4 linked regions of the Anolis sagrei genome follow. Each later gene encodes a partner of the first gene's protein in a complex. Links are inferred from orthologs where the notes say so. Each region holds a gene or a part of one and is shown on either strand. Other genes may lie near its edges.

Region 1 (7,211 bases):
TCATATAATCCAGTTCAAAGCAGATAATCTGGATTTTATATGGCAGTGTAGAAGGGGCCTAAGACTGCAAACCTACATGCATCTATTTGGGAATAAAACTCATTGACCTCAAACTGGATGTCCTTCAGACTAAATACACTGAAGACTAATGGAATATTGTATAGGCTTTCCTGGGGATACATCCTTTTGGCCATAGTTTTGGCTTCTTTCCAGATTTCATGTCAATATGTGTAGAAATATACCATGTAAACCAGAGGCTAGAGTTATATTCCTAGCTTGTTAACAGATCCATGTAAGAATGTTTTAATTTATGGACCAGGCTTGCCAAAGTCGCTTCCCAGTTTCAAAAGGCTGTTGGCAAAAAAGCTCCAGAGAAATGGTGTTTGTCATGTATAATCATTTATTAATTGCACGCATATGCTTCAGCTCAAATTCTAGCTTCTGTATTCGAGTCTGCTGAAGAATATCACTCTCCAATCTTCAATGAAAGGGATTTTTGACAGCATTCACACACAGAATGAACAGGGACCAGAGCCTTCACTGTCTGTAGCACAGCTGGAAAACACTGACTGATTTGGAGACATTCAGAAAAAGATACCAAAGGAAATGCTACCCATATTTAGAACCCAAATACATATTTCCTTCCTTCAGTCCAATGCATAATTGTGTAGCAGTGATATAACAGAATCCACTAATAAGGGAAACATTTTTGAATTACACAGTGATTAATATAGTAATTTTTGTTGAATATCTCTCAATAACATTTTCAGTGGAACAGCTCATTTCTTTCTGTAGTAACAAATACAGTGAATATGAATATGCATGAAACTAACACATCTTATTTTTTTAAAAATGGGAGAGAGAAATACCTTTCTGTTATGATGTTCTACCTCTTCATTAAGATCCCTTCCACACTGTCATATAAAATCCAGATCATCTGCTTTGAACTGGATTATATAGCAGTGTAGACTCAGGTCCCTTCTACACTGCCATATAATCCAGATTATCAAATTGCCATATAAAATCTGGATTATCTGCTTTGAACCGGATTATATGGCAGTGTAGACAAAGACCCCATCTACATTGCCATATAAAATCCGGATTATGTGAACTGAATTATATGGCAGTGTAGACTAATATAATCAAGTTTAAAGCAGTGAATCTGGACTTTTATGGTGGGGGAGATGGGGCCCAAAGCTGGATCTACACTGCCATATATCCCAGGATCTGATCCCAGTTTATCTGCTTTGAACTCAATTATATGAGTCTACACTGCCAGATAATCTGGGATCAGATCCTGGAATTCTAGAGAAGTGTAGATCTAGCCTCAGGGCCCATATATATACTGCCATATAAAATCCAGAGTATCTGTTTTGAACTGAATTATATGGCAGTGTACACAGAGGGCCCTTCCACACAGCATATAACCCAGAATATCAAGGTAGAAAATCCCACAATATCTGCTCTGACCTGGGTTATCTGAGTCCATACTGCCATATATCACAGTTCAAAGCAGAAAATGTGGGGTTTTATTCAGTTGTGTGGAAAGGGCCTCATATGATCCAGTTTAAAGCAGATTAAGTGGATTATCTGCTTTGATAATCTGGATAATGGAGCCCCCGGTGGCACAGTGGGTTAAAGCCCTGTGCCGGCAGGACTGAAGACTGACAGGTCGCAGGTTCGAATCCGGGGAGAGGCGGATGAGCTCCCTCTATCAGCTCCAACTCTTCATGCGGGAATATGAGAGAAGCCTCCCACAAGGATGATAAAACATCAAATAATCCGGGCGTCCCCTGGGCAAAGTCCTTGCAGATGGCAAATTCTCTCACACCAGAAGCAACTTGCAGTTTCTCAGGTTGCTCCTGACACGACAAAAAAAATAATCTGGATAATGTGTCAGTGTAGAAGAGGCCCTAGTTGTACAAGGTCTTTAGCCTTCTCTGCTGCAGAGGGTTGATGCTTCACCAAACTACAACTTCCAGGATTCCATAGCACTGAGCAGGGCAGTTAAAGGTGTGTCAGACTGCTTTGATTCTAGGTATAGATGAATGTTTCTCAACCTTCCTAATGCCACGACCCCTTAACACAGTTCCTCATGGTGGCAGTGATCCAACCATGAAATTATTTTTGTTGCTATTTCATAACCGTAATTTTCCTGCTGTTATGAATCATAATCTAAATATTTGATATGCAGGATGTATTTTCATTCACTGGATCAAACTTGGCACAAATATCCGATTCACCCAAATGTTAATACAGGTGGGATTCAGGGGGATAGATTTTGTCATTTTGGAGTTGTAGTTGCTGGGCTTTATAGTTCACCTACAATCAAAGAGCATTCTGAACTCCACCAACGATTAAATTGAACCAAACTTGGCACACAGGACGCCCATGACCAAGAGAAAATCCTGGCAGGGTTTGGTAGGCATTGAACTTGAGTTTTGGAGCTGTAGTTCACCTACATCCAGAGAGCACTGTGGACTCAAACAATGATGGATCTGGACTACACTTGGCATGAAGATTCAATATGTCTAAATGTGAATACTGGTGGAGTTTGGGGAAAATAGACCTAGATATTTGGGAGTTTTAGTTGCGGGGATTTATAGTTAACCTACAATCAAAGAGCATTCTGAACTCCACCAATGATGGAATTGAACCTGTCTTGGCACACAGCACTCCCATGACCAACAGAAAATACTGGAAGGGTTTGGTGGGCATTGACCTTGAGTTTTAGAGTGTTAGTTCACCTACATCCAGAGAGCAGAAGATGGTCTTTTGGTGAGGATTTGCTGTCCATTTCCAAAAAGGAAGAAAAGGACATTTGGAGAAATCTTCAGCCTTCTCTACCAAAGAAGTTCCTAAGACTATCATAGAATCATAGAGTTGGAAGAGACCTCAAGGGCCATCCAGTCCAACCCCCTGCCAAGAAGCAGGAAAATTGCATTCAAAGCACCCCCTGACAGATGACCATCCAGCCTCTGTTTAAAGACCTCCATAGAGGGAGCCTCCACCACACTCCGGGGCAGAGAGTTCCATTGCTGAATGGCTCTCACAATCAGGAAGTTCTTCCTAATGTTCAGATGGAATCTCCTTTCTTGTAGTTTGCAGCCATTGTTCCGCATCCTAGTCTCCAAGGAAGCCGAAAACAAGCGTGCTCTCTCCTCCCTGTGACTTCCTCTCACATATTTATCATATCTCCTCTCATCCTTCTCTTCTTCAGGCTAAACATGCCCAGCTCTTTAAGCCGCTCCTCATAGGGCTTGTTCTCCAGACCCTTGATCATTTTAGTTGCACTCCTCTGGACATATTCAAGTTTGTCAATATCTCTCTTCAATTGTGGTGCCCAGAATTGGACATGACTTCCCTGGATCAAGACACTATACTCCTATTGATGCAGGCCAAAACCCCATTGGCTTTTTTTTTTTTGCTGACACATCACATTGTTGGCTCATGTTTAACTTGTTGCCCATGAGGACTCCAAGATCTTTTTCAAACCTACTACTCTCTGCTGGAACTAGGTGTGAATGTTTCAACTGACCACCTTAATTAGCATTTGATGGCTTGGCAGTGCCTGGGGGAATCTTTTGTTGAGAGGTGATTAGATGTGTCTGATTGTTTACTCTCTGTTGTTTTGCTGTTGTAATTTTAGAGTTTTTTTTAATACTGGTAGCCAGATTTTGTTCATTTTCATGGTTTCCTCCTTTCTGTTGAAATTGTCCACATGCTTGTGGATTTCAATGGCTTCTCTGTGTAGTCTGACATGATGGTTGTGAGAGTGGTCCAGCATTTCTGTGTTCTCAAATAATATGCTGTGTCCAGGTTGGTTCATCAGATGCTCTGCTATGTGTCCAGGTTGGTTCATCAGGTGCTCCAGCAGACAAGAGTCCTTTGCCCCACCCTGGTCATTCCACAGGTATATAAACCCATTTTCCTACTTCCCACAGATCTCACTACCTCTGAGGATGCTTGCCATAGATGCAGGCGAAACGTCAGGAGAAAATGCCTCTAGAACATGGCCATATAACCCGGAAAAACCTACAACAACCCAATTCTGCAAATATTTGTTTTCTGATGGCCTTTGGTGACCCCTCCCTCACGCCACGCCCCCCCTTCAGAGGTCCCGACCCCCATGTTGAGTGACACTGGTGTAGATAGACGCCCGTCTCCTTCTCCTCCTCCTCCGACCCGCCCCTCCTCTTGCGCTGGCTTTCCTCTGGTGGAAGCAGAGCGTGCGGCTCCTTTAAAACCGGACTCCAGGAGCCGACCAGCCTCTTTTCTGACTTGGGTCCTTCTTCTTCTCCTTCTCCTTCAGTAGCAGCAACAGCGCGATCGAGTGGACGTCTCTTTTGGTTGTTTGCTGGGGCAGGAGAAAGAAGGCGGCTCCGTCTCTCCCATCCATCCTCCAAGCTGGTTTTCTGGCTCAAAGGGGGCTTCAGCTTCGCCTCCTGCCCTCTTGCCAAGCCCCTTCTCTGCCCAGATTAGTAGGGTTTTCCCCCTTACTCAGTCTCTTTTTGGGGTGGGATTTAAGGGCTCCAATACACCTCGGTTTATTTGACATTGGAGGGATCCTGAGACCAGAGGATCCGGTGCAAATCGACCCCGCCAGGACTGATCCAGGTAAGGAAGGACAAGTTTTAAGATTTCCTTTCTTTTTTTGGAAGTGGAAAGGAACATTTTGGAAGCTGCTGCAAGGAGGGAGGAAGGGGACCAAGCTGGCACCTTCTGAGTTGGATTTTTGGGGCGCATCTGCGGCGTAGACTTCTTTAAGTGCCATGGCGAAGGAATTGTAGTTTTGCAAGTCTTTAGTCTCCTCATCCCAAGAGTGCTGGTGCCTCACTAAACTACAAATCGTATGCTTCCATACATCACACTAGAGGGGAAAAAATCCACTTAAAATCTGGTTTCTGCCTCCTGCAGAATTCTGGGGTTTGTAGTTTAGTGAGGCTGTTAAAGGCTCCTCCCTAAACTACAAATCCCAGAATTCTGCAGGAGGCAGAAACCGAATTTTAAGTGGATCTTTCTTCTCTGAGACGCATAGCCATGGTACTGAAAGTGGTGTCAAACTTAACTTATTCGACAGTGTAAATGCATCCCCTGTTGCAGGGTTTTTCTTGGCAAGCTTTGTTAGGGTTTGACATTGACTTCCTCTGAGGCTGAGAGAGTGACTTTCCCAAGGTCTACCTGATAATAAAAGAAGTCTTCCGGTACACACATCTCCCTTTAAAAATCTAAGAGGACTATATATTCCACATTAGCAATAATTCCTTTATTTATTTATTTATTTATTTATTTACAGCATTTGTAGCCTGCCTTTCTCAGCCTTAGGGCAACTCAGGGCAGCTCACAGAATTGAGCAAATTTGATGCTATACATTCATAAAATACAGTTAAAACATTCAACCCAACATTATAAAAAACCATATATATACCAATTAAAAACATAATCACCGGTGTCATCCTGTTAGAATAATTATCCAGCAGCATTTTCTAGCCATTCCATGTTCATTCTTCCTATTTCATACTTACCTATTCCTATGTAATATTTACCTATGACCGGTTTTCAAAAGGGCCATAAGAGGACAGTCAAAATTCATGACATGCAAGTTGGGAGACTGTTAAAAAGTTTGTATTCTGTTGATTAAATGGGAGTTTGTCATATAATTTTAGGGATGCTGTCCACATCCATAAAAAATAATCTACCATTAACGGCACTCCATGCAGTCATGCGGGCCGCATGATCTTGGAGGTGTCTATGGACAACGCCAGCTTAGAAATGGAGATGAGCACCAACTCTCAGAGTCGGACACAACTGGACTTAATGTCACAGAAAAACCTTTACCTTTACATATTTCTATGATGGGTTTACAACCCTAGATATGATCTCTCTTCATATATATATAGGCAACTTGTTCAGTCTATATCAGGCATGGGCAAACTTCGGCCCTCCAGTAGTTTGGACTTCAACTCCCACAATTCCTAACAACCTCCAGGCCCCTTCCTTTCCCCCCTCAGCTACTTAGGAATTGTGGGAGTTGAAGTTCCCAATCTATAAGATTTTCCTTTCAATTCATTTCAATTTTCTTGTATGAAAGGAAAATTCACACCTACCTCCAACCAGGCCCGTAGCCAGTATTTCGTTTCGGAGGGGGCTGAATTTTTTTTCAGGGGGGTTTGGGGGGGGGGCTGAGTTTTTTTTGGGGGGGGGCTGAGTCTGAGTGAAAGATGGTCTAGCCTAGCAAACCTTTTGTATCGTTACCCCAATACCCCCATGCATATGGGATATATTGAGTATGGTGATCAGATCATGATATGAATAAACATAACAGTTTAAATAATGCACCAGTAAGGCCTTTTCGCGAACCACCATGAAAATTTCGGGGGGGGGGGGCTGAAGCCCCCCGAGCTCCCCCCCCCCCGGCTACATGCCTGCCTCCAACAGACAAGAGTTCTTTCTCCCACCCTGGACTTTCCACAGAAATATAAACCCAATTTTACTAGTTTCCAACAGACCTCACAACCTCTGAGGATGCCTACCACAGATGCAGGCAAAACGTCAGGAGAGAATGCTTCCAGAACATGGCCATACAGCAGGTGTATGTGCCAGTCAGCCTACAACAACCCAAAGGAAAATCTTTCCAAGACTAAATAGAAGACATCTCTTATAATAAAGGGACACCACAGGCAGCTTAAAGGCACATATGGGACAAGCTTCCAGGCCTGCAAATTGGGGACACCCTTTATGATAAAGGGTGTCCCCAATTTTATAAAGGAGACAGTTTCTGACTAAATATTTTTTAACAAGGTACATCTGGCAAGTCATCCTCCTGCTTTTGGTTATATCAAATCTGGGGTGTATGCACTGTAGAGTTAATGCAATTTCACACCACTTTAACTGCCATGACACAATGCTATGGAATCCTGGATATGCAGTTTAGTGAAGCACCAGCACTCTTTGGCAGAGAAGGCTTGTATACTTCAACTTTTATTGAGCATGGTTTGTTTGTTTGTTTGCTTTTTGTCGTGTCAGGAGCAACTTGAGAAACTGCAAGTCGCTTCTGGTGTGAGAGAATTGGCTATTTGCAAGGACGTTGCCTAGGGGACGCCCGGATGATTTTGATGTTTTTATCATCCTTGTGGGAGGCTTCTCTCATGTCCCCATATGAGGAGCTGGAGCTAACTCATCTGCCTCTTCCCGTATTCGAACCTGCGACC
Region 2 (7,254 bases), about 51 Mb from region 1:
CATGAGCTGCTGAATTGACCCATCTGATTGATTAATTAATTAATTAATTAAGACTGCAGCCAGGAAATCAGGAGACACTTACTTCTTGGTAGGAGAGCAATGACCAATCTTGATAAAATAGTGAAGAGTAGAGACATCACACTGGCAACAAAGATCCGCATAGTTAAAGCAATGGTATTCCACATAGTCATCGACGGATGAGAGAGCTGGACCATAAGGAAGACTGAGTGAAGGAAGAGAGATGCTTTTGAACTGTGGTTTTGGAGGAAAGTGCTGAAAGTGCTTTGGACAGCGAGAAGATCCAACCAGTCCATACTTCAAGAAATAAAGTGCTCATTGGAGTGAAGAATAGTAGAGACCAAGATGAAGTACTTTGGCCAAATCATGAGAAGAAAGGAAAGCTTAGAGAAGACAAGGATGCTGGGGAAAATGGGAGGAAAAAGGAAGAGGGGTCGACCAAGGGCAAGATGGATGGATGGTATCTTTGAAGTGACTGGATTGACCTTGAAGGAGCTGGGGGTGGTGATGACCAACAGGGAGCTCTGGCGTGGGCTGGTCCGTGAAGTCACGAAGAGTCGGAAACGACTGAACAAATTAACAACAATTCTCTAGCTGTTCCTTCAATGCATACCCCTATAGAATATTTCCCCCCGCCGCTAGAAGGTTTAACTGTATGATCCGTTATATGAGCCTCTCCCTTACAGATGTTATGCTCCACTTTTATCTCACCCTGAGTTTTTTTTAACATTTTATCTTCTACACGTGGCCCATTGTGATTCTGTCTGTGAATGATTTATTTTATTTCTACTTTTATTTTTGGTGCATTATTTTATATTGTTTAGTGTATCCTTATGATTTATTTACTTTATCGTGTTGCTGTTTTGTGTTTATTTTATTGAAATGCATTTTTGGGCCCAGCCTCATGTAAGCCACCCGAAGTCTCCATTGGAGAGATGGTGGTGGGGTATAAATAAAGATGATGATGATGATGATGATGATGATTATTATTATTATCTGTATATATAATAAAGAAGAGTGTTTGTTTGTATGGGAAGGACAGAGGAAGTGTGGAGGGTGGAAGTGTATGTGGCAGCTTTCCGATTGGCTGCCACTGTGGTGCTATTTGCATATGGTCTCTGATTGGGCAGCTTCAATAGGAGCCCCTGGTGGAGAAGAGGGTTCATGGCAGAAACGGGGCATGACAGAAGGAAATTTGCATATGGTCTCTGATTGGCCAGCCTCAAATGCAAGATTCCGAGATGAGAGAGGAAAGGAAAGGCCGGGGGCTGGGTCAGAACACTACCAATACAGACCAAAATAGGCACATAGAGCCCCCATCACCCACTCCACATCCTACTGCAGTTTGGAGGAGTATGAACCATGGATGATGGGACTTGCAGTACCACCACTCGCATTCTGAGACCGCTGCTAACCTTATCCAATGACTGATCAGGACCAAACTTCGCACATAGACCTCTCATGACCCTCTTTACGTCCTGGTGTGGTTTGGCCGGGGATGGACCGTGGATTATGGGACTTGCAGTACCATTGCTCAATTCTTCAGACCACTGCAACCATCATCCAATTACCAATAAATACCAAACTTGGCACACTGAGTCTCCATGATGCACTCTACATCCAGGTGCAGTTTGAAGGAGGATGCACCATGGACGATGGGACTTGCAATACCTGCACTCCCTTCCTAAGACCATTACAACTACCAACGATGATGGATCAGGACCACAATTTACACAGAGACCCAGCATGACCCACTCTACATCCTGGTGCGGTTTGGAAGAATTTGACAATGGATGATGGGACTTGCAGTCACTTCACTCACTTCCTGAGACCACTGAGACCCTCGCCGATGACTAATCAAGACTAAACTTGGCACATGGAGCTCCAATGACCCACTCTACATCCTGGTGTGGTTTGGAGGAGGACAGATCATGGATGATGGGACTTCAAGTACCTCCACTCTCCAAGTCTGCTGCAAAACTCATCTAATGACCAATCAAGACCAAAGTTGGCACACAGAGCCCCCATGACCCACTCTACAGCCTGCTGCAGTTTTGGAGGAGGGTTGACCATGGATGATGGAACTTCCAGTACCTTCACTCACATTCTGAGACCTCTGCAAACCTCATCCAATGACGGATCAAGACCAAACTTGGCACATAGACCTCTCATGACCCACTTTACGTCCTGGTGTTGTTTGGAAAAAATTGGAGATGGATGATGGGACTTGCAGTACCTTTGCTCACTTCCTGAGACCCTCGCCAATGACTAATCAAGACTAAACTTGGCACATGGAGCTCCAATGACCCACTCTACATCCTGGTGCAGTTTGGAGGAGGACAGACCATGGATGATGGGATTCAAGTACCTCCACTCCCTTCCGAAGATTGCTACAACTCTCTTCTAATGACCGATCAAGACCAAACTTGGCACACAGAGCCCCCATGACCCACTCTATATCCTGCTGCTGTTTGTAGGAGGATGGCCCATGGATGATGGGACTTCAAGTACCTTCACTCACTTCCTGAAAATAATGCAGCCGTTATCGAAAGACCAATAAAGACCAAACTTGGCATAAAGAACCACCATTACCCACTTTCTCTAATAACCCGGGCAACGCCGGGTCCCCAAGCTAGTTATTAATGTTTATGAAGCAAGGAGGGATGGGGGACTGTCATTAGCTGACGGGGCTCTGGGAAATAGATCTAGAGGACTACAAATAAGGACCTTATCACGTTTGCTGCTGAATTCACCATGGATTGTGGTGAATCCATCAGGGTCTATTGGGGAGCATGGGGAACTCCATGTCTTGCATTGCCTAGCTTCCTCCTTACCCCATCCCATGGGGGGAAATGTCCGCCATCCGGCTTCACCCTATTGTTATCAATGCAACATAGGAAGCCACCTGTGTTGTTGCGGCAGTGGCATATAATGCTTCCTTTTCACTATTACTATGGAGCCCCGCTGGAAGTAGTTTGATATCGTGAGTTGGGACTGGCATAAGCTGCTGAATTTGGCCCACCTGATTAATTAATTAATTAATTAATTTACTACACTTTTATCCTGCCCTTTTCAGCCCAAAGGCGATTCAGGGCGGCATACAGACTGGCAACAATTAGATGCCAAACACACATAAATACATTGTTTAAAACAGGTTTGTTCTGTCGCACGCTGGGCCTGTGCATAAGACTGTAGACAGGACATAAATTCTGTGTGCCCAACGGGACGCCAGGGCTGCCTCAGATTAAAGGCCTTTGGATTTCCTTAAACAGAGTCTTTAGATTGCTTAAAGGTTCAACCTAGTTCTTTATTAATGAAAACAAACAGGTACTTTAAGGCTTTCTTAACAGTCTATTGGCTCTCTCTCAATCTTGTCCACTGGGAACAGGCACTATCTTCATAAACTGTACTTTAGCTAATAGGGAAATCCTTAACTTCTAATCTGGGCAGTCTTTGCCTCTGATGGCGTGGAGCCCCTACACCCGGTACCAACTGCTTCTGGCTTCCGCGAGTGACCCTTACCAAGCAGAGCTTTGTAGACTTCCAGGGGAAAAAAAGAAGGAATTCAGGCTTCGGTGATGGCTGACTAAAGTCCCTCAGTGATGGAGCTGTAAGACTGTATAATCCTCGGCCAAGCTATGGGACCTTTCTCCCCGGCCAAGCTGTAGAAGACAGGAGCTCTTGGTATTATGTCCTGCATGAAAAGCTTCTCTGTGTGGACTGAACCCAAACTGGCTCCTATTCCCTCCAAAACCCAAAAAGGGGGCGGGACCAGGGAACCTAACTATAATTGACAGGTGGCTTGCCCTATGATTGCAGCAAATTGGGAGCCAGTGGAGTTGGCGCAACAGCGGAGTTGTATGCTCCTTGAGCGATGCTCTTGTTGGTAGCCTGGCTGCTGCCTGCTGAACCATTTGAAGCTTCCAGACAGTTTTCAAAGGCAACCCCACAAAGTAGTCTGATGAGGTTGTAAGATCTACTCTATCAAGGCCTAGCAACGAGTATGCATCTTCTCTCCAGATCGTCATTCAACTTCGAAGCACTTTTTGCCTAGCATGTGGGCACTTTCTCTTTTAACTCTTATTCAGGCACTAGTCAGATGAGCTACGCAGATGTCAGTGGTGCCCCAGGGCTGTCTGTCCCATGTCTGATTTGTCAAAAGATGTGGTAGCAGGCGGAGTGTATGTGCCTGCAATGTCTGCTTCTACAGGCTTGGCGTTTGCCTCTCTTCCTTTTGCCCAGACTGCTTCTTTGGAGTTCTCTCTCCCTTTCCCCCCTCTCTTTCACTCAGTCTTGGATTTCACAACCGGGCAGACAGAACTGAAGAGGACATTACCCAAGCAAAAGGCACCCTGGGCCTTGTAAAGTGGATGTGCCGTGAAGAACAGAGGGCTCTGGCTGCCTGGCAGGGTGACCTGAGGTGGCCGCCCCAGGGTTACAGAGGTCCTGGTGACTCTGGAAGGGTGTGGGGAGCCAGGGAGGAGACTTGAGCCTCGCTGGGAGCAGGGCTTGCTCCCGAATCTCATTTTTCACATGTCTGCTGCACTCTCGCTACCAGCTCTGTCAGAGGAAAGGAGGCGCTTCCTGTTATTCCAATCCAAATCTCAAGCTGAACACAGGAGGGAGCAGGCAGCTGTAGAGCAGAGTGGCAGGGTGAGCAAAGATGGAAGGCCAGTGCCTGCCTTTGCAACTGCTTCTACTGGTCTTTACAGGTACGTACTTTGGGGCATAGACAGCATAGACTCACAGCATAGACAGCTGTGAGTAGCTTTGCTTCTCTAATGGGGGAGATTGGAGCTTATCCTTACCGATTGTCTGCAGTAGGCAAGGGGGTGGCAACTCTACAGGTCAGCTCAATTTGTGAGCCTGGCGCTCAACTCTTTCATTGACCCCATTTATTATTATCTGTTCTTGTCATCTCGCGGGCACCATCTTAACAATCTGTGCATGTGAATCACACACTTCTTTTGCTCAGTTCTGTATCACATCCCTCACTTTCACACTTCACACTAGCTGCAACGTTTGTTCCTTCTGTGTTCTTCGCTAACTATTACATTCTCGACCCTTCCCCTAATCTGGTTTGTCTGGTATTTTTCCATCTCGAGGGTGACTTCTTTGCCAACATCAAGTGAATTTTCCTCTACAGTCCATTCCGACACCAATTTTGGGGATGATTTCCTAAACCTAGGATAGGAATGCTTTATTTTGTATTATGAAATGCTTTATTTTTCAGGTTCAGTGCAATGGATGAAAAGAGCACTCTTGTGGCAATCTCTTATTTCTGACTAGCCGTCCCCTGCCATGCATTGCTGTGGTCCACTTTGGTGGTCATGGGGGTTCTGTGTGGGAGGTTTGGCCCAATTCTGTCGTTGGTGGGGTTCAGAATGCTCTGTGATTGTAGGTGAACTACAAATCCCAGCAACTACAACTCCCAAATGTCAAGATTCTATTTTCCCCAAACTCCACCAGTGTTCACATTTGGGCATATTGAGTATGTGCGTAGAGTTTGATCCAGGTCCATCCTTGTTTGAGTCCACAGTGCTCTCTGGATGTAGTTGAACTACAAGTCCAAAACCAAAGGACACTGCCCACCAAACCCTTCCAGTATTTTCTGTTGGTCATGAGAGAACTGTGTGTCAAGTTTGGTTCAGTTCCATTGTTGGTGGGGTTCAGAATGCTCTTTGACTGTAGGTGAACTATAAATCCCAGCAACTACAACTCCCAAATGACAAAATCAATTTTTTGAGTGAAGGACATACATTGGGTTGTTAGGTGTCATGTGTCCAAATTTGGTGTCAATTCGTCCAGTGGTTTTTGAGTTCTGTTAATCTCACAAATGAACATTACATTTTTATTTATATAGATGGGTTTTTAATAAGTAAATTTGGCAGAGAGTGGGGAACAAGTCTTAGAACCCTAGAGCTGCAAGAGTCCCAAAGTTCCTGTTTCCCACCAGAGCCATTTCCCTTTTGCCCCTGCCCCCATTTCACTCAATCTGAAACATGGCATTACCTAGTAGAGGGCAGGTGCATTTGTCACTGGGGTTGTAAAGCAAATATATTCAGAACTAGCTGTACCCGTCACGCATTGCTGTGGCCAACCTTCCATCCCTCTTTCTCTTCTTTCTTTCTCTCCTTCCCTCCCTCCCTTCCTCCCTCCCTCCCTCCCTCCCTCCCTCCCTTCCTTCCTTCTTTCCTTCCTTCTCTTCTTCTTCCCTTCCTCCTCCCCACCTTTTCTTTCCCTTCCTCTTTCTCCCCTTTCTTCCTTCTCTACCTATTCTTGGATAGCAACTCCCAGCAGTCCTCCTGATCTATCTATCTATCTATCTATCTATCTACCTACCTACCTACCTACCTACCTACCTATCTCTATCTAATCTATCTATCTCAGCGTTTCTCAGCCTGGGGGTCAGGACCCCTGAGGGGGTCATGAGAGGGTGTCAGAGGGATCACCAAAGACCATCAGAAAACACATATTTCTGATGGTCTTAGGAACACAGTGCTCTCCGGAGGTAGGTGAACTACATCTCCCCTAAATCACTGTCAATTCCTCCCAAATCCCTGCAGTATTTTCTGTTGGTTATGGGGGTTCTATGTGGGAAGTTTGGCCCAATTCTATCATTGGTGGGGTTCAAGGGGGACTTTGAGTGTAGGTGAACTATTAATCCCAGCAACTACAGTTCCCAAATGTCAAGACCTCTTTTTCCCAAACTCCACTAGTGTTCACATGTGAGCATATTGAGTATCTGTGCCAGGTTTAGTCCAGATCCATCATTGTTTGAGTCCACAGTTCTCTCTGGATGTAGGTGAACTACAACTCCAAAACTCAAGGTCAATGCCCACCAAAACCTTCCAGTGTTTTCTGTTGGTCATGGGAGTTCTGTGTACCAAGTTTGGTTCAATTCCCTCATTGGTGGAGTTCGGAATGCTCTTTGATTGTAGGTGTACTATAAATCCCAGCAACTACAACTCCCAAATGACAAAATCAATTATCCCCCCCCCCCCCCAACTCCACCAGTATTCAAATTTGGGCATATCACATATTTATATCAAATACATCCTGCATATGAGATATTTCTATGATGATTCATAACAGTAGCAAAATGACAGTTGTGAAGTAGCAACAAAAATAATTTTATGGTCGGGGGCCACCACAACATGAAGAACTGTATTAAGGGTCACAGCATTAGGAAGGTTGAGAAACACTGATCAATCTGGAGGATTGCTTGGAGTTTCA
Region 3 (7,302 bases), on another chromosome or scaffold:
GAGTGAAGGACATACATTGGGTTATTAGGTGTATGCTGTCCAAATTTGGTGTCAATTGGCCCACTGGTTTTTGAGTTCTGTGGATCCCACAAACAAACATTATATTTTTATATATATACTAGCTGTGCCCTGCCACGCGTTGCTGTGGCCTTTAGTAAGAGTTTTGAATTCTCTGCCTGGCCTCTCTTCCTTCCTTCCCTCGCTCTCTTTCCCTCTCTCTCTCTCACACACTCCTTCCTTTCCCCTCTTTCTCTCTTTCCCCCTTTCTCTCTCTCACACTCCTTCCTTTCTCCTCTTTCTCTCTCTCTCTCCCTCTTTCTCTCTCTCTCACTCCTTCCTTTCCCCTCTTTCTCTCTCTTTCCCTCTTTCTCTCTCTCTCACTCCTTCCTTTCCCCTCTTTCTCTCTCTCTTTCCCTCTTTCTCTCTCACACTCCTTCCTTTCCCCTCTTTCTCTCTTTCCCCCTTTCTCTCTCTCACACTCCTTCCTTTCTCCTCTTTCTCTCTCTCTCTCTCTCTTTCTCTCTCTCTCACTCCTTCCTTTCCCCTCTTTCTCTCTCTTTCCCTCTTTCTCTCTCTCTCACTCCTTCCTTTCCCCTCTTTCTCTCTCTCTTTCCCTCTTTCTCTCTCACACTCCTTCCTTTCCCCTCTTTCTCTCTCTTTCCCTCTTTCTCTCTCTCACACTCCTTCCTTTCCCCTCTTTCTCTCTCTCTTTCCCTCTTTCTCTCTCTCACACTCCTTCCTTTCCCCTCTTTCTCTCTCTCTTTCCCTCTTTCTCTCTCTCTCACACTCCTTCCTTTCCCCTCTTTCTCTCTCTCTTTCCCTCTTTCTCTCTCTCTCACACTCCTTCCTTTCCCCTCTTTCCTTCTCTCTTTCTGTCTCTGGCATCCCTCCTTCCTCCCCCTTCTTTATGCTTGGCCATAGGGGTTCAGTGTGGCATGTTTGCCCTAATTCTGTCATTGGTGGGGTTCACGATGCTCTTTGAGTGTTGGTGAACTGTGAATTCCAGTGACTACAACTCCCAAATGTCAAGGTCTATTTTCCCCAAACTTCATCTGTGTTCATATTTGGGCGTATTGAATGCTTATGCTAAGTTTGGTCCGGATCCATCATTGTTTGAGTCCACAGTGCTGTCTGGATGTAGGTGAACTACAACTCCCAAACTCAAGGTCAATGCCCTCCAATCTTTTCCAGTGCTTTCTGTTGGTCATGGGAGTTCTGTGTGCCAAGTTTGGTTCATTTCCATCATTGGTGGAGTCCAGAATGCTCTTTGATTGTAGGTGAACTGTAAATCCCAGGAACTACATCTTGCAAATGACAAAATCATAATTGTTTGAGTGATGGTCACTCCTTCTGTTGTGAGATGTTGTGTTGTGTTGTGGAGCCTTCCCTTCCTCTCCCCCCCCCCCGCCTTTCCCTTCCCTTCCCTTCCCTTCCCTTCCCAGCACTCGCCTCTTTTGCTGTTCTTCCGTCGTCCCTCCCTCTGGCCGGATCGCGATCTAGGCAAGAGAGGCTTCATGCAAGGCTAGGCCCTGCACAGAACCTCCCTCGCCTAGAGGGTAGGGGAGGAAGAAGGAGGGGGAGGAGGTGAGATTGGGGAAGAAGAAGGAGGAGGTAAGAAGGAGAAGGGAGGGGTGGTGAGTTAGCGGCGTGTGTGTTTGTGTGGAAGGCAGGGGGGTTTGTTACGGGCGTTTGGTTGTGTTGCGGAGAAGGGAGGGGGTGTGCGTTAGCGGCGTGTGTGTTTGTGTGTTGCAGGGAAGGCAGGGGGGCTTGTTACCGCCGTTTGGTTGTGTTGCGGGGAAGGGAGGGGGTGTGTGTTAGGGGCGTGTGTGTTTGTGTGTTGCAGGGAAGGGAGGGGTGGTGAGTTAGCGGCGTGTGTGTTTGTGTAGAAGGCAGGGGTGTTTGTTACCGGCGTTTGGTTGTGTTGCGGGGAAGGGAGGAGGTGTGCGTTAGCGGCGTGTGTGTTTTTGTCTTGCGGGGAAGGGAGGTGTGGTGAGTTAGTGGGGGGAGGGGTTGTTACCGGCGTTTGGTTGTGTTGCGGGGAAGGGAGGGGGCGTGTTTTACCAGAGCTGCGTTGGAGGAGGGAAGGAGTGTTTCAGGGCCGGAAGGGGTGGGAGGAAGTTGCGATGCGTGTGTGTGTGTTTGTGGCAGCGACGTGTTCGTGCTGGGCGAGGGAGGGAGGGAAGTGCCGTTCGGCCGTTCGGCCATGTGTGCGCGCGCGCTGGGGTCTTTGCGGCAGTGCGCATGCTCAGTTGTTTTGCCACTTTGTGAGTGTGTTGTTGTGTTGTTTGTAATTGTGAGTGGATTAGTTTGTACCGAGTGGGTTGTCCTAGGGCCATGGCAATTTTGGTGCAGTTTCGTTGGGGGGGTTTAGAGTTTACCTGTCCGGTATAACCAACCTAACAGATTTATATATATAGATTAGCCGTCCTCTGCTAGGCGTTGCTGTGGCCCAGTCTGGTGATCTGGAAAATAAAGTAATGAGAAAGTGTTGGTTTCTAATATATGTAATTTCATATATTAGTATTTCTTGCTGTTTCTTTGTCAGTGTTGATGTGGAGATTGTCTGGTTTGCCCACCCTGGAACATGCAACATATCATTGTCCTTCTTTAGGGGTCCCTTTCAAATCTAGGATACTATCTTTCTCTCTCTCTCTCTCTCTCTGTGTGTGTGTGAGAACCATATCTATCTATCTATATTTATGACTGGATGGCTCTTTGTCAGGAGGGCTCTGATTACATTTTCTTGCCCTGCTGAAGGGAGATGGACTGGATGGCCTTAAGTATTTTCTGTTGGTCATGGGGGTTCTGTGTGGGAAGTTTGCCCCAATCCTGTCGTTGGTGGGGTTCAGAATGCTCTTTGATTGTAGGTGACCTATAAATCCTGGTACCTATAACTCCCAAATGTCAAGGTCTATTTTCCCCAAACTCCATCTGTGTTCATATTTGGGCATATGGGATATTTGTGCCAAGTTTGGTCCAGATCCATCATTGTTTGAGTCCACAGCGCTCTCTGGATGTAGGTGAACTACAACTCCCAAACTCAAGGTTAATGCCCACCAAACCCTTCCAGTGTGTTCTGTTGGTCATGGGCAGGGGCGGCTCAACCATTACGCAAAGTAAGCATTCGCAGTATAGTTGATTTTGCCCAGGGGAGCTCTTGAGGCGCTCTTGGGGGAAAATAGACCTTGACATATGCGAGTTGTAGTTACTGGGATGTATAGTTCACCTACAATCAAAGAGCATTCTGAACTCCACCAATGATGGAATTGAACCAAATAGGGCACACAGAACTCCCATGACAAACAGAAAATATATATCAGTGATTGGCTGGGGGGGCGGGGGGGCGGGGGGCGGAATACTGTTTGCTTACCGTTGAAAATTATCTAGGGCCACCTCTGGTCATGGGAGCCCTGTGTGCTAAGTTTGGTTCAATTCCATCATTGGTGGAGTTCAGAATGCTCCTTGATTGTAGGTGAACTATAAATCCCAGCAACTACAACTCCCAAATGTCAAGGTCTATTTCCCTTAAACTCCATCTGTGTTCATATTTGGGCATATGGAATATTCGTGCCAAGTTTGGTCCAGACCCATCATTGTTTGAGTGCTCTCTGGATATGGGTGAACTACAATTCTCAAAGTCAATGTCCACCAAACCTTTCCAGTTTTTTCTGTTGGTCAGGGGAGTTCTGTGTGCCAAGTTTGGTTCAATTCCATCATTGGTGGAGTTCAGAATGCTCCTTGATTGTAGGTGAACTATAAATCCCAGCAACTACAACTCCCAAATGACAAAAATCATAATTTTTTGAGTGATGGTCACTCCTTGTGTTGTGAGACGTGTTGTTGCCAAATTTGGTGTGATTTCGTTCATTGGTTCTTTTGTTTTTAAGGTACTCATTATGCACAAAGCATTTTTTATATAGATAGATAATATAAAACAATAGTAATGCGTGTGTTTGTGTGTATGTGTGTCTATATATATATACACACACACATGCACACAAACACACGCATTACTATTGTTTTATATTATTATTATCTATTATTATTATTATCTATTTTATTATTATTATCTATATTATTATTTATTTATATTATTATTATTATTATTATTATTATTATTATTATTATTATTATTATTTATCTATTATGATGATTATGAGAGGCAAACGCCGGGGAGAGGACGTCTTCGGATTGGGCGTGCTGCTTGGGCTCGCGGCTCCAGAGCTGACCAATCCGGGCACTCCTTTCCCGCTGCGGCGCTGCACGTGCTCCCGGGAGGGTTCTGCGCCGCGCGCGCCCGGGGACCAAACCAGTCAGAGAGAGAGCGCGAGAGAGAGAGTCAGAGTCACTGCGCTCGCGCTCCCTCTCTTCCCCCGCTGCTTCGGGGCGGGAGGCGCCATGGCTTTGGGGATGCTCGCCCTGCTGAGGCGCTTCTTGTGGCTGAGCCTGGGTAAGTGCTGCTCCCGACCTTGGGTTTCCCTCTGTCTTTGCCTTGGGCTCCCCTTTGAAGGGCGGCGGGGTCGCCAGGTGCTGCTGGTTCAACAGCCAGCTAACTAGCATCACCTGGGACTCCCTCGCCTACACCACTCTTAAAGGGACAGGAGCCTTTTCCAGTGGTGGTTTGGACTGCTCTTTCTTCTCGGTGGGGCCTCAACAGAAGCATGGGATTAGGGGAAAGGCACCTTTCTTCGCCCCTTCTAGGCTTAGGCAAGCTTGCAACTTGCTGGCAAGTGTAGACAATATGTTCAAAGGGGCTTCAAGCATCTGAGAAGTTCCAGTACGATACAAATGTATATTGTATTGATGGATTCTGGTTCCAGGAAAGGAGATTCCACTTGAAGATTAGGAAGAACCTCCTGGCCATAAGAGCTGTTCAACTGTGGAACTCTCTGCCTCAAACTACAAGAAAGGAGATTCCATCTGAACATAAGGAAGAACTTCCTGACTGTGAGAGCTGTTCAGCAGTGGAACTTTCTGCCCCGGAGTGTGGTGGAGGCTCCTTCTTTGGATGTTTTTAAACGGAGGCTAGATGGCCATCTGTCAGGGGTGCTTTGAATGTAATATTCCTGTTTCTTGGCAGAATGGGGTTGGACTGGATGGCCCATGAAGTCTCTTCCAACTCTTTGATTCTAGTAAGGGTAGTAGAGCAGCATTTCTCAACCTGGGGGTCGGGACCCCTGGAGGGGTCGCGAGGGGATGTCAGAGGGGTCGCCAAAGACACAGTATTTTCTCTTAGTCATGGGGGTTCTGTGTGGGAAGTTTGGCCCAATTCTAACCTTGGTGGGGTTCAAAATCCTCTGATTGTAGGAGAACTATAAATCCTAGTACCTACAACTCCCAATGTCAAGGTCTATTTTCCCCAAACTCCAGCAGAGTTCACATTTGGGCATATTGATTGTCATGTCAAATTTGGTCCAGATCCATTATTGCTTGAGTCCACAGTTCCATTATTGCTTGAGTCCACAGCTCTTGGGATGTAGATGAACTACAACTCCAAAACCAAGGCCAATGCCAACCAAACCCTTCCAGTATTTTCATGGGAATTCTGTATGCCAAGTTTGATTCAGTTCCATCATTGGTGGAGTTCAGAATGCTCTTTGATTGTAGGTGAACTATAAATCCCAGCAACTACAACTCCCAAATGACAAAATCAATCACCCACCCAATGCCACCAGTGTTCAGATTTGGGTGTATCTGGTATTTCTGCCAAATTTGGTCCAGTGAATGAAAATGCATCCTGCATATCAGATATTTACATTATGCTTCATAACAGTAGCAAAATTACAGTTGTGAAGTTGTCATGAAAATAATTTTCTGGTTGGGGGTCACCACAACATGAGGAACTCTGTTAAGGGGTCGCAGCATTAGGAAGTTTGAGAACCACTGTAGTAGAGAGGCTCCTTCCTTGGAAGCTTTCAAACAGAGGCTGGGTGGCCACCTGTCCAGGGTGCTTTGATTGTGCGTTTCCTGCGTGGCAGGGGTTGGACTGACTAACTTTACTTAGGCAATTCCTCATTGTCTGAGGATGATGGTCCTCCAAGTGTAGTTTCCTGGTGGTGGATCCGTAGGTGACAGTGGAGCCCTATTGTCCTGCATGTTCTCCTTTTCCAGCATGTTGACATTTGTCCCCTTGTCTTCCCAAGAGAGTTGCAGGATTTTCTGGAGGCAGCACTGGTGGAATCATTCCAGGAGTTGCATGTGACGTCTGTAGACTGTCCAAGTCTCACAGGCGTATAGCAGGGTTGGGAGGACAATAACTTTATAAACAAGCACCTTGGTCTCCCTATGGATGTCCTGGTCCTCAAACACGCTCTGCTTCATTTGGAAAAACGTTGGACTGAATGGCCCATGGGGACTCTTCCAATTCTATGGTACTATCTCAGGCATGGGCAATCTTCGGCCCTCCAGGTGTTTTGAACTCCAACTCCCACAATTCCTAACAGCCAGTAGGCTGTTAGGAATTGTGGGAGTTAGAGTCCAAAACACCTGGAGGGCCAAAGTTTGCCTACACCTAAACTATAGCCTTATTTTGGGTGCCCCCTTCCCCAATGTCTCTTGGTTACCTATATTTTCATACCCAGTCTGCCACTGCAGAGCATGACCCTGTGGTCAGAGAATAAATACCGCACAAGGAATTTATTAATGTAATGATAAGGATGGAGTTTGGTTAGATAATAGTTCCATATGGCATGGTGTCGGAAGTCATGGGTGGTGGTTCACATGTGGTGGGTGGGAGTGGGGAAATAATATGTGTATTTCAATTGTTGAATTTTGAAGATGATATGTTCTTTTTTTTTCTTCATGTACCACAATAAAAAATATACAAGAGAGAGAGGATGATTGCAGTATGACATTGTTTTGACTGCCGTCGTTTAATTTGTATTTTGGAAGGTCTTTAGCTTTCTCTGCGCAAGGGTGCTGGTGCCTCACTAAACTGAAACCCTCATGGTTCCATAGCATTGAGCCACAGCAGTTAAAGTAGAGTCAAGCTGCATTAACTCCACAGTGTAGATGCCCCTATAAATATTAATCAGTGTACCAGTGAATCTGGCAAGTTGGGTTCTTCTAGTAGCAGGTACTATTCCATCCTCTGTTTTTTCTTCTTCACTCAGATCTAAAATACCCTATCTTTGACTACTCAAACATTTGACTATTACGGGAATACAAATATATGCATCAGTTGCATCATTGGGCGGGGTGCAGAAATTAAAATGTAGATATGATCTTATCTCTTGCAAACACTGCTTCCATTTATTTATTTATTTATTTGTTGTATCAGGAGCGAACCAAAACAGTTGTATT
Region 4 (6,890 bases), about 39 Mb from region 1:
TATTGTACATAGATCCAAAGCCAGATAATCAGATAATTATATTTATCAGTCCAAAGCCAATTCCAACTATATTGCACAGATAATTATGCTGGGCCAAATGCTTGTTCCCAAAGCCAAGTTTTCACTTGTTTGAGAAATGACAGGAGGGAAGTAACCAATCTAATTCCACTAGGGAGAGGGTTCCACAGCCAAGGAGCCATCACTGAGAGGGCCCTGTCTCTCATACCCACCAGTTGTGCCTCAAAGGTATATAGTTTAGTGATTACATTAGAAACTAATGCTTGCCTTCTTTGTGGTATCGGGCAGTTTGAATCAGGTGAGCAGGGGGAGCTCCCATCTGTCAGCTTCAGCTTCTCATGCAGGGACTTGAGAGAAACCTCCCAAAGGATCACCATCACCTGCTTCTACTGTTATCTGCCTCTGGAGGCCCTTCCAGACAGGGCCAAATCCTGGGAAGAATTGGAATATTCAAATATTCAAATTCTTCCCCCTAGTTTGGTGGTGGCTACATGCCGTTCCAGAGGTTGACCCGAGAGGGCATCCATCCAGCTCCCTGCCCCCTATTTTCCCCCAAAACAAAAATTCTCAAAGATAATTGCCAGTGGTTCTGAAATTACTTCTGCCAGTTCTTTCAATAGCCTTGGATAGTTCATCTGGCTCTGGAGAATTGAATTCATTTAGATTAGCCAGATATTCCTGTATTGCCTGTTTATCTAGTCTGTGCTGCATTTCCCCTACTGCATCCATTGCTCCATCATCCTCAAGCTGAGCACTGTTTATTCTTTCGGAGAAGACTGAGACAAAGAAGGTCTTGAGTAATTTTGCTTTTTCTGTGTAACCTGTTAGTATTTCACCACCACCTATACACATCCACTGTTTTAGCGTGGTGAGATGTGTTCCACACTGGGCATGCATACTCAGCAGCAGAGTAGCATAGCGCAAGGGCAGATGTCTTCACTGTGTCTGGTTGTGATTCCCAGGTTGTGCCAGTCCGCTTTCGTATGATATTGTTTCTAGCACCCACCTTTTGCTTGATATTCAGACAATGCTTCTTGTAGGTCAGAGCACGGTCCAGAGTGACTCCCAGGTATTTGGGTGCGCTGCAATGCTCCAGTGGGATTCCATAATAATAATAATAATAATAATAATAATAATAATAGTACTTTACTTATAAACCGCCCTATCTCCCCAAGGAGACTAATTGACCGTACTTTCCTTACTTACTTAGGCGATCCCTTGTTGATCGAGTAAGATTATCTTCCAGGTTCGTTGTACTGGTGGTGGGTAGGTAGGTGACTATGGAGCCCCATTCTTGACCTGCATGTTCTCCTGCAGTGAGGGCATCAGTTTCCAGGTGGGAGGTGGTTCCGGTCGGGGTTGGCTTGATGTGCCTTCCGCTTGGCACGTTTCCTCTCGCCCTCCTTTCATGCCTCTTCAAATTCTACAACACTGCTGGTCACAGCTAACCTCCAACTGGAGCACTCAAGGGCTAGGGCTTCCCAATTCTTTGTGTCTATGCCAGAGTTTTAAAGGTTGGCTTTGAGCCCATTTTTAAACCTCTTTTCCTGTCCTCCAACCCATTGAAGAAATTCCACTGGAGCATTGCAGCACACCCAAATACTTGGGAGTCACCCTGGACCGTGCTCTGACCTACAAGAAGCACTGCTTGAATATCAAGCAAAAAGTGGGTGCTAGAAACAATATCATATGAAAGCTGACTGGCACAACCTGAGGATCACAACCAGACACAGTGAAGACATCTGCCCTTGCGCTATGCTACTCTGCTGCTGAGTATGCATGCCCAGTGTGGAACACATCTCACCACAGTAGATGTGGCTCTTAATGAGACATGCCACATAATCACGGGGTGTCTGCGCCCTACACCACTGGAAAAATTACACTGTCTAGCCGGTATTGCACCACCTGACATCTGCCGGGAAGTAGCAGCCAATATTGAAAGGACCAAGGCAGAGACATCTCCAGCCCATCCCTTGTTTGGGTATCAGCCAGCACGTCAATGACTTAAATCAAGACATAGTTTTCTAAGATCTACAGAGACATTCGCTGGAACACCTCAGCAAGTGTGGCAGGCTCAAACCCAGAACCTCAACCAATGGCTGATACCAAATGAGAGACTCCCCCCTGGACACACAGAAGACTGGGTGACTTGGAAGGCGTTGAACAGACTGCGCTCTGGCGCCATGAGATGCAGAGCCAACCTTCAGAAATGGGGCTACAAAGTGGAATCCACGACATGCGAGTGCGGAGAAGAGCAAACCACTGACCACCTGCTGCAATGCAACCTGAGCCCCGCCACATGCTCAATGGAGGACCTTCTTGCAGCAACACCAGAGGCACTCCAAGTGGCCAGATACTGGTCAAAGGACATTTAATCAACTACCAAGCTTGCAAACTTTGTGTTTTATCTGTTTGTTTGTTTTGTTCTGTTAGAAATGTAATACAATTGTCTGGTTGCCGCTGACACAATAAATAGGTTTTGGCGGTGACCAGGGGAGAATTTGCACAGTTAAAACTTGTGCGCCAGCTGCGCCCGTACCTTGGGAAGTCTGACTTGGTCACGGTAGTCCACACTCTGGTTACATCCCGTATAGACTACTGCAACGCTCTCTACGTGGGGTTGCCTTTGAAGACTGCTCGGAAGCTTCAAATGGTCCAGCATTCGGCAGCCAGGTTGCTAACAGGAGCGGCACTCAGGGAGCATACAACTCCTCTGTTGTGCCAGCTCCACTGGCTGCCAGTTTGCTACTGGGCACAATTCAAAGTGCTGGCTTTAGCCTATAAAGCCCTAAACGGTTCTGGCCCTACTTACCTCTCCGAACCCATCTCCTCCTATGAACCGACTAGGACACTAAGATCATCTGGGGAGGCCCTGCTCTCGGTCCCGCCTACATCACATGCGTGCCTGAACAGTTTGGGACCACCCTACCTGCGTGACCGCATCTCCATCTACGAACCCTGCATTCACTTCGGTCATCTGGAGAGGCCCTGCTCGTGATCCCACCTGCGTCGCAAGCACGCTTGGTGGGGACTCGAGACAGGGCCTTTTCTGTGGTGGCCCCCCGACTCTGGAACGCCCTCCCAAGAGATCTTAGACAGGCCCCTACATTGGCAGTCTTCAGAAAGAACTTGAAGACCTGGCTGTTCCGATGTGCCTTCCCAGATTAGGAACCTCCAATACCAAGTCCTAGAAGTACTTTAGTAGAACTAAGATTACTGCACACCTCACACTGCACTTACTTATAATCCTACATACCTCCTGCCACATCAGCACTTTTAATCTTGTACCTATTACTCTGGCCCGGCCCAGTTTTATAGTGTCTTGATGTCTTGTTTATTCTGCTTAACTGTTTTAATTTTGCTTTAGGTATTGTATTGTTGTATTGTGTTTTGAGGCCTTGGCCTGTGTAAGCCGCATCGAGTCCTTCGGGAGATGCTAGCGGGGTACAAATAAAGTTATAATAATAATATACTAATGTTTCTTTGTTGATGCTATAATCTGTTTTTAATGGCTTTATACTTGTCTTGTGATGTTTTGCACTGATGTTGTCAACCGCTTTGAGTCGCCTGAGGGCTGAGAAGAGCGGTATATAAGTAAAGTAAATAAAAAAAATAAAAAATAACCCATTGACCATCATGTTGGGAGTTATAGTTCACCCATATTTTTATGAACTTTCTTATCGGAGCATTCATAAACACACACACACACACACAAAAGCAAAGACTGGCTTTTTCCTAATAAATAGCATTAGAAATGACCTAACCTGGACACTGCAGAGTACACAAGCTAGTAAATGATGATAAATTGCTGCCTGAGGGTGTGGGGGATAATTTAGGAATCAAATGAGCGGGAAGAATCCCACCTCAGGGAGACAAAGAGGGCAGAGAAGAGAAGCCGGGCTGCAATGGTCCCTTTTTGGCCCCCTCCTCGGCCTTGAAAGAGGATGACGGAAGGAAGGGCCATAATAACATTATCCTACCCCCCTCTCCTTTTTCTCAAGGAAGCGAGGGCGGGGAGGAGAGGAGGAAGGAAGGAAATAAATGGCAAAGTGTTGCCAGTAAGAGGAGGAGAAAGGAGGGAAGAGGAGGAGGGGCGGCCTTGTGTGAAGGCGACCCCTCCCCGCCCTTCAAGGCGAACTTCTTCCCTCAGAGGCTGTGGAATGACACAGCCTTATAAAATAGAATATCAAGGCAGATAATCCACAATGTCTGCTTTGAACTGAGGTATCTACACTGCCATATAATCTAGTTCAATGTGGATTTTATACAGCTGTGTGGAAGGGGTCTCCAGCGCTGCCCTTGCTTCTCCTTCTTCTTCTGCTGCTCCTTCAAGGCGGTGGCCGTGGCGAATCCTGCAGGATGGAGACCTGTGTTTTGTGGCCAGCGCGCCTTTTCCTCTCAATCCTGTGTGGTAAGTGCTTCCTCTTCTCTTCACTGACAGGCTGTCCTCTTTTGTCAAGTTCTCTTCAGAAGTTGCCCAAGGCACAGGCGTGTCCTACAGCAAAGAACACCAAGAATCATAGAATCCAAGAGTTGGAAGAGACCTCATGGGCCATCCAGTCCAACCCCCTGTCAAGAAGCAGGAATATTGCATTCAAATCACCCCTGACAGATGGCCATCCAGCCTCTGCTTAAAAGCTTCCAAAGAAGGAGCCTCCACCACACTCCGGGGCAGAGAGTTCCACTGCTGAACGGCTCTCACCATGTTCAGATGGAATCTCCTCTCTTGTAGTTTGAAGCCATTGTTCTGCATCCTAGTTTCCAAGGAAGCAGAAAACAAGCTTTCTCCCTCCTCCCTGTGGCTTCCTCTCACATATTTATACATGGCTATCATATTTCCTCTCAGCCTTCTCTTCTTCAGGCTAAACGTGCCCAGCTCCTTAAGCCGCTCCTCATAGGGCTTGTTCTCCAGACCCTTGATCATTTTAGTCGCCCTCCTCTTTTTTTTTTAAAACAAGCATTAGGTTTTTTGGAAAGGTTTCTACGTAAAAAAGTAGGTTTCTCCAAACATTATTATGAGTCTCCTGGCAAAAAAATAAGGGGGGGGGGGCACCCCATCTTTTTAAATACTGTACTTTCCCTTTAAGGGAGTCAATGTTTCAGTAATCAAGAACAAACAGGGCCTAAAAGTGAAAAGGGGGGGGGGGGGAAGAGAAGAGACTATTATTTGCAGAAACGAATGTATTTACAGAGAAATATCTACAAATGGCCCTAAATGCAGGGAGACCTTTCCTTTGACAAGCTGGAATGTGTCCAGAGAGCGACTAAAATGATAAAAGGTCTGGAGAACAAGCCCTATGAGGAGCGGCTAAAGGAGCTGGGCATGTTTAGCCTGAAGAAGAGAAGGCTGAGAGGGGATATGATAGCCATGTATAAATATGTGAGAGGAAGCCACAGGGAGGAGGGAGCAAGCTTGTTTTCTGCTTCCCTGGAGACTAGGACACAAAGCAATGGCTTCAAACTACAAGAAAGGAGATTCCATCTGAACATGAGGAAGAACTTCCTGACTGTGAGAGCCGTTCAGCAGTGGAACTCTCTGCCCCGGAGTGTGGTGGAGGCTCCTTCTTTGGAAGCTTTTAAACAGAGGCTGGATGGCCATCTGTCAGGGGTGATTTGGATGCAATATTCCTGCTTCTTGGCAGGGGGTTGGACTGGATGGCCCATGAGGTCTCTTCCGACTCTTTGATTCTATGATTCTATGATTCTTTCACCAAACCACTCTGTTTTTCCTCCCAAAAACCCTCTCTTTCTTGATTAAGACTCTTCTTGATCCTCAATCTTTGGAGCCAAGTAGTATTTCAAGTGTCCCATGTCTGCGATCTTGTATTCCACAACGAGGGGGACATCAGCAGACATGCTGAGGGTGACGGTGGGCGAGAGCGGGGTGGCCTTGGTGAAGAAGTTCAGGTAGCACAGAGCAAAGGTATGCTGCACAGCCTCGTTCATCTCTATTGACATGGCTTCGTCCTCTTTGTCAACATCACTGGTCTGGGAGAGCTTGATGTTCCCGCTCCCAAGTTCCCCGGTGGCAGAGAACTTGACGCCGTCCTTCGCACAGAGGATGACCACCGCGTCTCCGATGTGGCTCAAGTCACGGCAGATATGTGCAAATTCGGCCTATCGCAAAGAACACCATTTGGTATGCAAAAAAGAATAAAACATTTATGAAACCTCAACATCCTTCGAATACACCACATCCCAACCCATCTACAACTAATCAAAATCTATTACTCATTTCCACCCAACTCCAAGGAAGCCCCTCGAGTGCTGGACGAGTGCCTGGCCGCTGTGGCTGTCCGGATGAGGAGGAACAAGCTGAAGATCAATCCCGACAAGACAGAGGTCCTCCTGGTCGATCGAAAACCGGATTGGCGTATAGGGTGGCAACCTGTGCTGGACGGGGTTACACTCCCCCTGAAGTCGCAGGTCCGCAGTTTGGGAGTCCTCTTGGATTCATCACTTACGCTTGAGGCTCAGGCGTCGGTGGTGGCCGGGAGGGCTTTTGCACAATTGAGACTCGTGCGCCAACTGCGACCGTACCTCGTAAAGGCTGATCTGGCCGGGGTGGTCCATGCCTTGGTCACCTCTAGATTGGACTACTGTAATGCGCTCTACTTGGGGCTGTCCTTGAAAACGGCTCGGAAATTTCAGTTAGTCCAACGGGCGGCAGCCAGGATGTTAACTGGTGCTCCTTATAGAGAGAGGTCAACCCTCCTGTTCAAGGAGCTCCATTGGCTGCCATTAATTTTCTGGTCCCAATTCAAGGTGCACGGTTTGAGACCTGCCTACCTGCGTGACCGCATCTCCGTGTATGAACCCACACGCTCTCTTCGTTCATCCGGAGAGGCCCTGCTCACGATCCCACCTGCATC

The links.
Region 2: the proteins of CALCR (region 1) and RAMP2 are in contact, whole or in part, in a cryo-EM structure (PDB 7TYX), measured with the Homo sapiens proteins. The link is inferred for Anolis sagrei from reciprocal best matches to the Homo sapiens genes CALCR and RAMP2. Residues at the interface, in NP_001158210.1 of Homo sapiens: Arg45, Lys46, Met48, Met49, Asp50, Gln52, Tyr53, Lys54, Tyr56, Asp57, Met59, Gln60, Trp76, Gly78, Arg126, Phe235, Leu238, Ile242, Thr246, Val250, Glu255, Lys256, Gln257, Arg258, Trp261, Tyr262, Leu264, Leu265, Phe269, Pro273; in NP_005845.2 of Homo sapiens: Trp86, Tyr93, Ser94, Arg97, Asp98, Glu101, Leu109, Pro112, Glu117, Ile120, Phe121, His124, Phe128, Cys131, Pro136, Phe138, Ser139, Asp140, Pro141, Leu146, Met149, Ile150, Pro153, Ile154, Leu156, Ile157, Leu160, Ile161, Leu163, Val164.
Region 3: the proteins of CALCR (region 1) and RAMP1 are in contact, whole or in part, in a cryo-EM structure (PDB 9AUC), measured with the Homo sapiens proteins. The link is inferred for Anolis sagrei from reciprocal best matches to the Homo sapiens genes CALCR and RAMP1. Residues at the interface, in NP_001158210.1 of Homo sapiens: Arg45, Lys46, Met49, Asp50, Gln52, Tyr53, Tyr56, Asp57, Met59, Gln60, Gln61, Thr75, Trp76, Asp77, Gly78, Asn124, Arg126, Phe235, Leu238, Ile242, Thr246, Val250, Ala251, Gln257, Arg258, Trp261, Tyr262, Leu265, Phe269, Ile276; in NP_005846.1 of Homo sapiens: Trp59, Ile63, Tyr66, Arg67, Ala70, Asp71, Phe83, Trp84, Pro85, Val89, Asp90, Phe93, Leu94, His97, Gly98, Phe101, Ser103, Arg109, Ala110, Val111, Arg112, Asp113, Pro114, Ile118, Leu119, Phe122, Ile123, Pro126, Ile127, Val129.
Region 4: the proteins of CALCR (region 1) and RAMP3 are in contact, whole or in part, in a cryo-EM structure (PDB 8F0K), measured with the Homo sapiens proteins. The link is inferred for Anolis sagrei from reciprocal best matches to the Homo sapiens genes CALCR and RAMP3. Residues at the interface, in NP_001158210.1 of Homo sapiens: Arg45, Lys46, Met49, Asp50, Gln52, Tyr53, Lys54, Tyr56, Asp57, Met59, Gln60, Arg74, Thr75, Trp76, Asp77, Gly78, Asn124, Arg126, Phe235, Leu238, Ile242, Thr246, Gln257, Arg258, Trp261, Tyr262, Leu264, Leu265, Phe269, Ile276; in NP_005847.1 of Homo sapiens: Cys57, Leu59, Ile63, Tyr66, Glu67, Thr70, Tyr83, Trp84, Pro85, Gln90, Ile93, Thr94, His97, Arg98, Phe101, Ser102, Cys104, Val106, His110, Leu111, Glu112, Asp113, Pro114, Val118, Leu119, Leu122, Ile123, Pro126, Val127, Leu129.

The regions. Positions count from the first base shown.
Region 1 is NC_090026.1:101,948,138-101,955,348, forward strand, and holds the start of CALCR (calcitonin receptor), read left to right. Parts: upstream 1-4,199; 5' UTR 4,200-4,617; intron 4,618-7,211. UniProt on the Homo sapiens protein: G protein-coupled receptor activated by ligand peptides amylin (IAPP), calcitonin (CT/CALCA) and calcitonin gene-related peptide type 1 (CGRP1/CALCA).
Region 2 is NC_090026.1:50,685,182-50,692,435, reverse strand, and holds the start of RAMP2 (receptor activity-modifying protein 2), read left to right. Parts: upstream 1-4,233; 5' UTR 4,234-4,681; coding exon 4,682-4,730; intron 4,731-7,254. UniProt on the Homo sapiens protein: Accessory protein that interacts with and modulates the function of G-protein coupled receptors including calcitonin gene-related peptide type 1 receptor (CALCRL) and calcitonin receptor (CALCR). Required for the transport of CALCRL to the plasma membrane.
Region 3 is NC_090021.1:175,097,348-175,104,649, reverse strand, and holds the start of RAMP1 (receptor activity-modifying protein 1), read left to right. Parts: upstream 1-4,298; 5' UTR 4,299-4,398; coding exon 4,399-4,450; intron 4,451-7,302. UniProt on the Homo sapiens protein: Accessory protein that interacts with and modulates the function of G-protein coupled receptors including calcitonin gene-related peptide type 1 receptor (CALCRL) and calcitonin receptor (CALCR). Required for the transport of CALCRL to the plasma membrane.
Region 4 is NC_090026.1:63,149,179-63,156,068, reverse strand, and holds the start of RAMP3 (receptor activity-modifying protein 3), read left to right. Parts: upstream 1-3,881; 5' UTR 3,882-4,377; coding exon 4,378-4,429; intron 4,430-6,890. UniProt on the Homo sapiens protein: Accessory protein that interacts with and modulates the function of G-protein coupled receptors including calcitonin gene-related peptide type 1 receptor (CALCRL), calcitonin receptor (CALCR) and G-protein coupled estrogen receptor 1 (GPER1).